3 linked regions of the Ovis aries genome follow. The protein of the gene in region 2 purifies or fractionates together with the protein of the main gene of each other region. This does not show direct contact. Links are inferred from orthologs where the notes say so. Each region holds a gene or a part of one and is shown on either strand. Other genes may lie near its edges.

Evidence for each region.
Region 1: the proteins of SF3B4 (region 2) and PRPF8 purify together in Homo sapiens (affinity purification with mass spectrometry; 4 studies listed by BioGRID and IntAct, with this or other methods). This does not show direct contact. The link is inferred for Ovis aries from reciprocal best matches to the Homo sapiens genes SF3B4 and PRPF8.
Region 3: the proteins of SF3B4 (region 2) and RBM17 purify together in Homo sapiens (affinity purification with mass spectrometry; 4 studies listed by BioGRID and IntAct, with this or other methods). This does not show direct contact. The link is inferred for Ovis aries from reciprocal best matches to the Homo sapiens genes SF3B4 and RBM17.

Annotation. Positions count from the first base shown.
Region 1 is NC_056064.1:22,647,802-22,651,301, forward strand, and holds the end of PRPF8 (pre-mRNA-processing-splicing factor 8), read right to left. Parts: intron 2,977-3,500; coding exon 2,737-2,976; intron 2,639-2,736; coding exon 2,497-2,638; intron 1,533-2,496; coding exon 1,392-1,532; intron 1,268-1,391; coding exon 1,128-1,267; intron 1,026-1,127; coding exon 823-1,025; intron 650-822; coding exon 495-649; 3' UTR 315-494; downstream 1-314. UniProt on the Homo sapiens protein: Plays a role in pre-mRNA splicing as core component of precatalytic, catalytic and postcatalytic spliceosomal complexes, both of the predominant U2-type spliceosome and the minor U12-type spliceosome.
Region 2 is NC_056054.1:100,033,289-100,037,269, reverse strand, and holds the start of SF3B4 (splicing factor 3B subunit 4), read left to right. Parts: upstream 1-1,181; 5' UTR 1,182-1,218; coding exon 1,219-1,252; intron 1,253-1,698; coding exon 1,699-1,827; intron 1,828-2,058; coding exon 2,059-2,601; intron 2,602-2,920; coding exon 2,921-3,127; intron 3,128-3,981. UniProt on the Homo sapiens protein: Component of the 17S U2 SnRNP complex of the spliceosome, a large ribonucleoprotein complex that removes introns from transcribed pre-mRNAs.
Region 3 is NC_056066.1:10,888,321-10,891,820, reverse strand, and holds part of RBM17 (splicing factor 45), read right to left. Parts: intron 1,474-3,500; coding exon 1,307-1,473; intron 496-1,306; coding exon 398-495; intron 1-397. UniProt on the Homo sapiens protein: Splice factor that binds to the single-stranded 3'AG at the exon/intron border and promotes its utilization in the second catalytic step. Involved in the regulation of alternative splicing and the utilization of cryptic splice sites.

The DNA of each region.
Region 1 (3,500 bases), on a different chromosome or scaffold from region 2:
GGGGCTAAGCTGGGCTCTGCAGCTACAGAGAACAAGCCAGGAGCTTCTACACTCAAAATAGTGACTGCTCCAAGAGATGCTGAAAAGCGGTGAGCGTTTACAAGTATTTGGGGTAAAACTGGCAAATGTGGTCATAGCAGCAGGGGTGTGAAAGCCCAACTTCCCTTCAGCTCACTGAGCTTAGAGGATATTTATCCCCACAGCTCCAAACAGGGGGACTCAAGGCTCAGTCCAGCAGCTTGCAGAGAACATGTCTGGCTTCTGCCATCCCTACATCCAGAATCTGAGCTCAGGGGAAAAAAAGCTTCAAAACCTCCTATTTATACAAAATTTATTATTATACTTTTTCACAATTACAAGTCACCAGGAGGTCAACAACATCACAAGCACAGAAGAGAGAAGAAGGGGCCAAGCTGCTGAATGTCACCAGCTTGTCTGTGGGGCCACAGGCTCTAGCCTTGACCAGAAGGCTGGAGCAAGAGGTGAGGAGACGACTACGCATAGAGGTCCTCTCGGTCCGCAGAGTAGACCTCGCCCTCCTGCAGGAGAGCGAAGTTGAGGAAGTGGGAGGGCCGGTGCACCTCGTGGTAGAACTCTTTGGGATTTGCCAGCTGCAGCTCGTACTTCATGTTGGGATCATGCCGGACACCTTGGAGGAGAAGGAAGAGGCCAACGTTGGCAAGGTCCACCTGCCTCACCCAGCCTGGGTCCCTGGGCCATCTCTAAACCAGAATCTGGGCCCAAGTGCTAAGGGCGGTGGCCTAACCTCATCCCCACTTTCCTGTGCACCCCTGCCCTCAGCCCACACCCTGCCCCACGCACCCATGAAGTTGTAGTTCCATGAGGACTGGGCAGGGACCATAAAGAAGCCAAGGAAACGGTCTGACAATAGCATCTGGACCCTCTCGTAGTGCGAGGGTAGGTAGCCTTTGGGGTTGTTGCCCTTGTCTGTGTTCTGGCGGCCCCATTCATAGCCACTGGGGGTCAGCTTGTAGGCTGTCAGGGTGCAGGAGCCTGGTGTGAAGCTGGAAGAGAAATGAGGACAGAGTCAGAGCTCAGGCCACCATTCTGGGCCCTGGCCCACAATGCCTCCCATCACCCTTCCTCCCAAGGGGGCTCAAGCCCACCTGCAGGTGATGATAATGGTCTTCTCGCCATCCCAAGATGGGTTGTCAGCCATGATCTTAGCATGGGTGGTGACATCCTGGGGTGACAGCTGGGGAGACTCGTTGGGCTGAGTATGGATCCAACCTAAGGGTTCCATCTCCTATAGGAAGAGTAGTGGAAAGCTCTTTAGGGCCCAGAAATCCCACCCATGAGAGTAAAACCTCTGCCTTCCCTCCACCACCCTGAGAGCAGGATGCCGCAGCTCTCCCACTTCCTCCACTAACCTTGAGGTACTCATGCTGGGGCAGCTGGCCAGGCAGGTGCACAGTCTGGTGAGTGCCCCACTGTGGTACCATCACGATGCAGCGGATCTCCTTCACCTGGGGGTTATCTGGTGGGCTCACCCCATACAGGTATCCTGCAATCTGGAGACAAGGGGGTCAGAAACCAAAGAGATTCTTAGAACCAGCTTAATTCCCTTCTCCAGGAACAAGGTCAGAGTTCCCCAAAATGTGGCCAGAATCTCCTACATCAAAAAAGCCTGGGAGTACTTATTCAAAATGTTAAACATGGACCTCATCTCAGACTTAATCACATCAGAATCTTGAGTGGGGTCCAGGAATCGGCATTGCTCACACATTCCCCAGTTGATTATTTAAGTATTTAAGCACAGTATCCATAAACAAATGAGCACATGAGCACACAGATCAGGCATTCAACAAGCAGTGCACATCTTTAAACCCAGCACTCCGCAGCACTTTTTCCACCCTCGGTTTCTCTTCAAAACTACCTTCTTTGCCCAATCTTCTAGTTATCTTTTATTTCTTCCTGTTTTTGTCTTTTGTGGTACTCTTTGTCACACACAAGTTAATCATTTTGATGATGGTTTTGTGCTGTATATCTTATTTAAGATTATTCCATCACTAAGACAATAAATACTTTCTTCTAATAACTAGTGTTTAGTATTTCACATCCAGATTTTCATTCCACCTGGATTTGCTTCTCTAAGTGCTATGGAGTAGGGATCAAGTCTCCCTTTGCTGATTATTTCAATGTCATAAAACACACTTCATCCCACAGATGGAGTGGAATCCTCAAGTGATACACCTGATTTACTGTATACACATGAATCTGTTTCTGACTATATGATACTTCTTTCCAATAACTTCTAGGCCAATCACACATCCTCCTCTCAATTGCCATAGCTTTATAATGCTTTGGTATCTGGTGGGGGCCAAAACCTTCCTCCCTGTTTCGGCTATCCTTACATATACTTTACTCATCCATGAATTTCAAAACCATCACCTCCAGTTCCAGGAAATCTCAGGTGAGTTTTAGGCTCATAAATGCTTAGCACACACTGTGGCCTAGATGGACAAACATACTCACTTGGGCCCGAAGGTCAGATATGCAGATAAACTTCTTAAGCACATTCTTGGGAAGGATATAGGTGTACCCAGTCTCCTTGATGTCATCAGATGAAACATAGATGTGATTGGTCCTTAGGTGCAGGTTGGCAGCAGAGATGGCCCTAACAACAGGCAGGGAATGTTGGCATTTTTCAACTCAAGCACTTCATGCGGCACCAGCAGGCCTTCCCATCCCCACCCGTCTTGCCCTATGCACTACCTGACCCTCCATTCAGTCTTAGAAGAGAAAGTCTGGGTCTCGTAGTTGCTAGTGGTGGAGGTGATTATTTCGTCGCCATGCTTGTTGACAGTGCGAGTCTGGGTTGCAGTGAGCTGCGACTGTTCCTTCGTCTGCTTCTCAATCTCAGCGATCTGCTGCCGCTGCTGTGATGGCGCTGAGATCTCCATCCCCAGGATGATGTCCCGAATTTCTGACTGTGTCAGTGATGCCACATTCACACTGTGGGGACAGTGTGAGTCTCACCACAATGATCTTTTCCCTTGGTCACTTATGCCCCTAACTGCAAGCATGTTAACTGGGTGAGAAATGGAGCCCATGTGTACCCTGACCCCTGACAATCCTAAGTGATACTTATGCAGCAAGTGTGAGGTGGAAATACACTAATATGGATCAGATTTGTCACACCCCAGGCTGACCCTGTGCCTGTGCACCTTCTGACCATGCTCAAACCAGATTTAGCAACCACACCCCCACTCCACCTCAACAAAAAGTGCCCTAAAACTGGGAAAACTTTCAAAAACGAAAATCCTGAAACAAGTTCTCAGTCAGAGTTGACACGTCAGTCACCCTTACCAGTATCTGGAAATCTATGGACATTTTTGGTTGTAAAAGTGACAGGGAAAGAGAAAAAAGGAGTGTGTGTGTGTTATTAGCTGTGCTACTATGGGGTCTGGGATGTGAGAACTCCGTGTGTGTGTGTGTGTGTGTGTGTGTGTGTGTGTTGTGTGTGTGTGTGTGTGATG
Region 2 (3,981 bases):
TGCCTTGTTTGGTTTAAACAGTTCTTATCATTTGAAGAATTAAGAAACAACAACAATCCAGAAGACTGCCTCTCTTTTTCAGGGCAATTCCATGTCTTTGGGATGGAAATTTTGGATATTGCGCTGGTAAATTGTGATAATCAGATATACTGTTTATCAGTGCCAACAAGATGGCCTACAGACCTCCTTCTCACCTCCTCTTGCTGCTTAATTCCAATTTCTATTTCTTCCCTTATAGTTTTCTATGGGTATGGAATATACACAGGACACCCTATCTCTTCCAATTATATATTTTCATTGTGACATTTCTATTTAAGGAGTTCATTAAAGCACAATATTTATACACGCCGCTGGCATTGTTTGTGTCTGATTAAAGGAACCTTAGGTAAGGGAGTGGTGGGAGAGGAGGGAAAGGAATGTGACCCACGAAGGGACGGTACCGACCATATTACTGCTAAGGAAGTAAGGGGCTGGGCTGCGTGAGGCGCTGCAGGATTCACAATTTAAGGTCCTCTCTTCCGTGTAGACAGGGCAAAGGCACGCCCAGAGGTTGCTGGAGTTCAGGGTGTGCTCTGAAGGCCTCGGCCTCGGCCTCGGCCTCGGCCTCTGGGCTTCAGTATCAAACCCCCGTAAACTTCGGTACCACCCCACCTCCGAACCTCAGGTTCCCCTCCTATGCAGTGACTAGGCGAGCTCAGACATTCCACAATTCCTTCCCTGAGGAAAAAGGAAATACCTCAAGCTCAGGCCTGGGCTGTGAGGCCGCGTCTGTTCAAGGACTGCGGGTTGGGATGGACGGTTCTCCCCACGCCTTGCGTTGAGCGGTTCCTCTGTACACCCTTCTAAGGGGGAAAAAAAGGCTACAAAACACATGAAAACTAAAGTTTTGTTCTCCCAGCTTCTGAAGTGACAGTTTCGGGAGCAGTGTGACCCTTTAACTTCTAGCACTGCCTTAAAAGAGACAGAACGTTTCCTTTTCACTTTCCCCGCCGCGTCCGCTCATAGTAGCACTTCTGCACGGGAGCGTGGACCGAAGCGCACCGCTACTTCAGCCGCTTCCAGTCTCAGCGTCTCCTAAGATGGCCGAGGCCGCTTCCGGCTCCTCCCCTGCCGCGGCCCCGCCCACCACCTCACGTCAGCCTTCGCCTCGGAAGCGGAAGTAGTGACTGAGGTCAGGGGGCGGGATCGCTGCCTGGAGACGGCGGGAGCGCTTTCGCCATGGCTGCCGGGCCGATCTCCGAGCGAAACCAGGGTGACTGGAGGGGACAGACCCAGAATGGACTCTGGGGGTTTGAGGGACCTCGACTAGGCCCAGCAATGTTTCCGCTGGGGCGGGAGATTTTGCCTTTCCGAAGGGCGCCAGACTGGTCCCGATGCCTTATGGGGACGGGATGGACAGACTTGAGGCCTATAGTTGTGATGCTGTGTCCAGTCCTCTGCTGCCTTCCCACTCAAAAAAAAAAAAAAGAAAAAGAAAAGTTACAGAGTGAACTTGCACCGTCACTCTAAATTAGACATAAGATTGTCTATTTTCTGGAAAGGAGGAGCTTCTAAAAGCTTAATCTAACATCTTTTTGTTTTTTCGCTTTTCTACCCCATCTCCACGTCCACTTCCTCCGCCTGGGTTCCATCTTCATGTTCCCGTTACCTCCCTATTTCCCCTCATCTCTGTCCTTACCTCTTAATCCTGTCTTCCAGATGCCACTGTGTACGTGGGGGGCCTCGATGAGAAGGTTAGCGAACCACTGCTGTGGGAACTATTTCTCCAGGCAGGACCAGTAGTGAACACGCACATGCCAAAGGATAGAGTCACTGGTCAGCACCAAGGTGAGTACACGGCAAAAAGTACAGTTATCTATGAAAGGGACAGACTGCTCCTGGAGGTCTCCAGTGATATTAAGTTTTGGAGTGAGCAAACTAAAGATTTTGTTTCTGGAACCATTCTCAATTGAAGTTGGGATTATTATTTCTTATCCTTTGTGCTTTAGAAGACAAATGAGTTATAAACTCGTTTTTAAATCACTTCAGTTGCTAACCTCTTCTTTTCCACTTCCCCAGGCTATGGCTTTGTGGAATTCTTGAGTGAGGAAGATGCTGACTATGCCATTAAGATCATGAACATGATCAAACTCTATGGGAAGCCAATACGGGTGAACAAGGCATCAGCTCACAACAAAAACCTGGATGTGGGGGCCAACATTTTTATTGGGAACCTGGACCCGGAGATTGATGAGAAGTTGCTTTATGATACTTTTAGCGCCTTTGGGGTCATCTTACAAACCCCCAAGATTATGCGGGACCCTGACACAGGCAACTCCAAAGGTTATGCCTTTATTAATTTTGCTTCATTTGATGCTTCGGATGCAGCGATTGAGGCCATGAATGGGCAGTACCTCTGTAACCGCCCAATCACTGTGTCCTACGCATTCAAGAAGGACTCCAAGGGTGAGCGCCATGGCTCAGCCGCTGAAAGACTTCTGGCAGCACAGAACCCACTCTCCCAGGCTGACCGCCCTCATCAGCTATTTGCAGATGCACCCCCTCCACCATCTGCTCCCAATCCTGTGGTATCATCATTGGGATCTGGGCTTCCTCCACCAGGTAAAGCTTTTGATAAAAAATGTTTGTGTTGGGTTGGGAAGGGTGGGGCCAGGAAGAAGGAAAAATAACCTGGCAAGGAGAGGACATTGAGTCATTAGGTGATGAGAAAGGGGTTGAGGGATGATGATTGTGGTGGGAAGAAAGTTGTTGAGTTTTCTCCAGAAGGTTGTTGTTCAAGTCACTTAATGTTGCCGCTGACTTCAGAGAGCTGGGAGGAGGGGAAAAGAGCTCATTCGGCCTGGAGAGGCCAGGGTGGAACAGGCTCTCTAAAGGCACTCTCTGCTCACTATCATTAACTGTTTTTCCATTTTCTCTATAGGCATGCCTCCTCCTGGCTCCTTCCCACCTCCAGTACCACCTCCTGGAGCCCTTCCTCCTGGGATACCCCCAGCCATGCCACCACCACCTATGCCTCCTGGGGCTGGAGGACATGGTCCCCCATCAGCGGGAACCCCAGGGGCTGGACATCCTGGACACGGACACTCACATCCTCACCCATTCCCACCTGGTGGGATGCCCCATCCAGGTGAGCGTTCTTTGCTGGGAAGGAGAGGGATGAGCTTGATGGAGGAGCTCTGTCAGCACTTAATGCTGCTGTTCTTTGTCCTTTAACAATAATAGATAGTGCCCAAGCTCTCCTTTCTTTCAGACATTCTTTTAGGAAAAAAATGCAAGATACTTTACCGTTTATTTTAACAACCATCATGCTGTCTTCATTTCTTGTTTAAGTTTTACCAAAGAGAACAACAGGCTCTCTGCATTGGTTCTTTACCACTAGCGCCACCTGGGAAGCCCAGGCTCTCCTATCCTCATTATTTCACACCTAATTTATTTTAGTAATACCCTAACTGACACTTTGACTCTAATTATCTCTACTTTGATTGACTATCTCAGAGTAATTTTTCTTAAATACAGATATTCACACACCTTTGCTCAAAATTCTTCTGGTTGTTCCTTTTTACTTACAGAGTGAAACCCAAACTCGCTATCATAGCATTCTAGGCTTTGCATAATCTGGCTCCTGCCTGTTACTCCCATGACTACAAGCTGTTCTACTGGGTTTCCTTTAACATACTGTGCTGTTGATCACATCCATGCTTTGCACCTGCTGATTTTTTTCTGCCTGGAATGTTCTTTTCCCACTCTGTTGTCCACCTGAAAAATTCCTGTTCATCCTTTAGAATTAGATCTTTGCTGTGACAGTGTCTCTGTTATCTTCCCAGATTCTATTCAGTAGAATAATCACGCCATTCTGCAGCACTGTTACAATGCCTAAATCATGGAAGGAGCAAATGGGCTTCAGGGACTGGGGAGCTGTAGGGTAGTTGGTTGATTTATTCTCTTGGGATGGAGTCAAAGATAAGGGCACTTTTTACCAGC
Region 3 (3,500 bases), on a different chromosome or scaffold from region 2:
TCTCCCTGCCCCGCTGGCAACTCTGCCAGAAGCCAGCGTCCAGGGAAGCGCAGCCATGCATGTGGGTGGCAAGGGTTCTGAACACGAGCGCAGACTCTCCACTCAGTGCTATGAATCAGAGTGCAGACGGACAGAGAGCAGGTGGGCACGGCTGTGCTACGGACGGGGGCGAGCACAGGCATGCAGCTTAAGGCGTGCTCCAAGGCCCACAACGTGAATGTTAGGGAGACCATCTGTGAACACAACGAAGGGAAACCCCATACAGATGTGGGCTTCTGCCGAGATTCCAGACAGGAAACTACCCAAACCACTGCAGCTGAACTAGTTATCAAACTGAATGCAGAAGGAAAGGGCAGAACTGCACATCCCAAACAGGACACCCATGCTCAGGCATTACTTCTTTTCCTCCTCTCTCGCTCATAATCTTCATCCTCATCAGAATCTGGATCGGGTCGCCTGGAAAACCCACTAGCTTCATGTCTGTCTTTACGCCTCCTGTGATAACAGAAGGAACAATTCAGAGATGTGAACCCAAGGATGTCACCTTGACTTTAGGGGGGCGTCGGGGATATGCAAACAACTGATTAAAGACTAAAGCAGCCAACGTGTGACAAGTGAGAAAAACCCAGAAGATAAACTGAACAAATTTAACAGGTATATGCATATAAATAGCAAGAAAAGAGTTTCCTTGATATTTTACCTCTTTCAACACTAAAGCGAATCAACACAGGTAAGAGTTAATGAAATAATTTCGATTCTCTAGAGCATGCTTTCACTTCATGAAATAAGTCAATAAATAATGAGAAATAGTATATTAATGTTTTATATAATCATTTAAAAATTAATACTCAGCATTTTTAAAAGAAGAAATGCAAATAAATCTGTTACCCATACTTTCGAAAAACATAAAAGATGTTATGAGTTCTTAAAAACTCTATCTGGCTCAAAAATAGTAAAAGGTGAGAAAAACATTTTAAGTATTTTAAGCAGTATGACTCTAGTAGAGTCAGAACATAGGGGGCAAAAAAGCAAAACCTATTATTCCACATCAGTTTGTAAGCTATTTTTCTAAAAACTCACTCAAAATGCATGTTCTAAGTTTTCTGCGTGTGTACTTGAACTTGCTCTGGAGTTTGTTTCCATGATGGGATGTAACAACCACACACTCTTAACAACAGTCTGACTCCTGAGGACTGTTCAGACCAACCACAAAACCCACTCAGTCCACAGACAGCACTAAAGTTCTCGTAACATCTGAATGAACATTTCAAACATAACCCCATCCCACACTTGCACGAGGCCTTACTTCTCTCTCTCTTCTATTTCCTTCTGTCTTTCCAGCTCCCGCTGCCTCTGTCGCTCCTCTCTTTGGCGCTTCACTACTTTCTCATAATCGTTAGGAAACATGGGATCATATTCATCAGCTAAGGGGATCAAAACTTCTCCTGCAGAAAACCCGCTGGGAACAGGGTCCTGAGGAAGGGAAAATGCCAAAGTAAGTATCACCCTCTGTCTTGGAGTTTTATTCACAGAATTAAGGTCAAGGACCATGCAGGGCCCCGAGGACCACCTGTCCACTTCTGTTCACAGATGAGGGAGCAGATGCCCGAGGAGGCTAGGAGACTTGACCTGTTCAGGCGCCCAGCCCAGGAGCAGCAGAGCACGGGAGTTCACCTCTCAGTTCAGGATCAATTCCATAAACACCCTACAGCATTTTCTTAAAAAAAGCTGCCATCACCCAAAATTTTAAGCAATAAATTTGACTTTTCAGAGTAAATATAGAATACTTCTATTTTTATATATATATAAAAACTTAAAATACAAAACAAGTCATGAATAACATGTTCTTGCAGTCATTTAATATAATAATCTCAGATTTTGATTACATGGAGACATGACATATTAAGACTCTCAAAAAAAAGAGGAAAGAAAAGTAGAAAGCTGCCTCCTGGGCTCTGAATGCTCTGGAGTCCACAGCCTCCCAAGGCCGCTGCATCTCAGACCCTGAGTCTGAACAGGGCATGTAATTCCCTTCACAACATGGTTCATTTTTTAAAGTCCACTAAGTCAGGTTTTTGCATTTCTCTTTTGTACATTTACAAACTGCTCTTTGAGAGGAAAAAGAACAAAAGGCTAACAGTGCACTAGAAACCCAAGATAAAAAGGGGGCTTTGCCCTGGGCTGGTGGTCTTGATCTCCGTGGTTCTCGTAAGCCCTGACCCACTGCATGGTCTCAGGTTCCTACATCTTCGTACTTTCTTCTGTTTGTTTCTCTAGCATGACACCCCCTTATTGTCTGTAAAAATACGATGCCTTTCCTGGTCCCCACAGACACCCAAATGAGTGCAGGTCAAGGTCCCGAAGCTCCGACTCTGGAACTGTCGGGAGAAGCGTGCCCAGCACTGCCAAAGGCAGGACGGCTGTTTGCAAAATGTATTTTACATATGAACACAAAGCAGGCATGACACAGAGAGCTTATGCTCAGTATCAACGGACCTAAATCTAACAACTCCTGGATTACCCTGTGCACTGAATTACAATGTGGATGACATTTTCTCATCATATTGATAAAACAAACACTTCATGGTCTCCTTACAATTAAAAACAAAAAACCACTTTGATTTGTTGAATAAACAAAATTAGAAAAATAACTGTCATCACCTCCCAGGCCCTGTCACTGGAAATCTGACACAAATCTATTTACTGCAAGGCTCCCAAAGGGAAGGCATTCATTTGTATGCAAATAAAAGACATTTCTAAAACACAAAAGCACCTGAACAACATTTCCATTCAGTTATTATTAAGACAAGAGAAGCTAACAATCAGCAACTCAATTTATTTAACACTACCATCACAAAGTTCCAACTCAGAGAACAAACTGTCAGCATGAAGGTTAATTCTCTGTCATTTAAAATCTGACAGCAAACAACTTTTACTGTGTGAACCCTGCTAAGTTCAACAATGAGCCATCCTGCTCTAAATGCCATAAAGAATAAAGGGCTTGCTTCATTTTACCAGCTTGACAGTTAATACCCACTGCAGAGGGTGGAAAAACTCAAATGCTCACACGCTGCAGGTGATACAACTCTGCCAGGGACAACTTGGCAATAAATAAACCGTCCAGGAAAGGGAATGATCTCCTAAAGTCACCTCTGGAAATCTATCCTAAGAAAATTTTAAATGCACAGAAAGCTCTCTCAAAAGGTGCTCCCTAAAAGGGTTACTGGTCCTACAGTTAGGAAATGGGTGTGTAAATCACCATACACTTACCTGATGGGAATACTTTACAACTAAAAATTGGCTATGTAGCAAGAAGGAAAACGTTAACTGATTAAATTTGGGGGTGATATTATAGGTTCTGGAGTCAATATACAATAACAGAAGATGATTAACCAGTTCTTGATTAGATGCAGCAAGAAAAAATTAGGTGACGAATTTGTGGGAAAAAATGTTAAATGACTAAGAATCCTCAGAAAAGTTCCCTTGTGGGGAACCAAGTG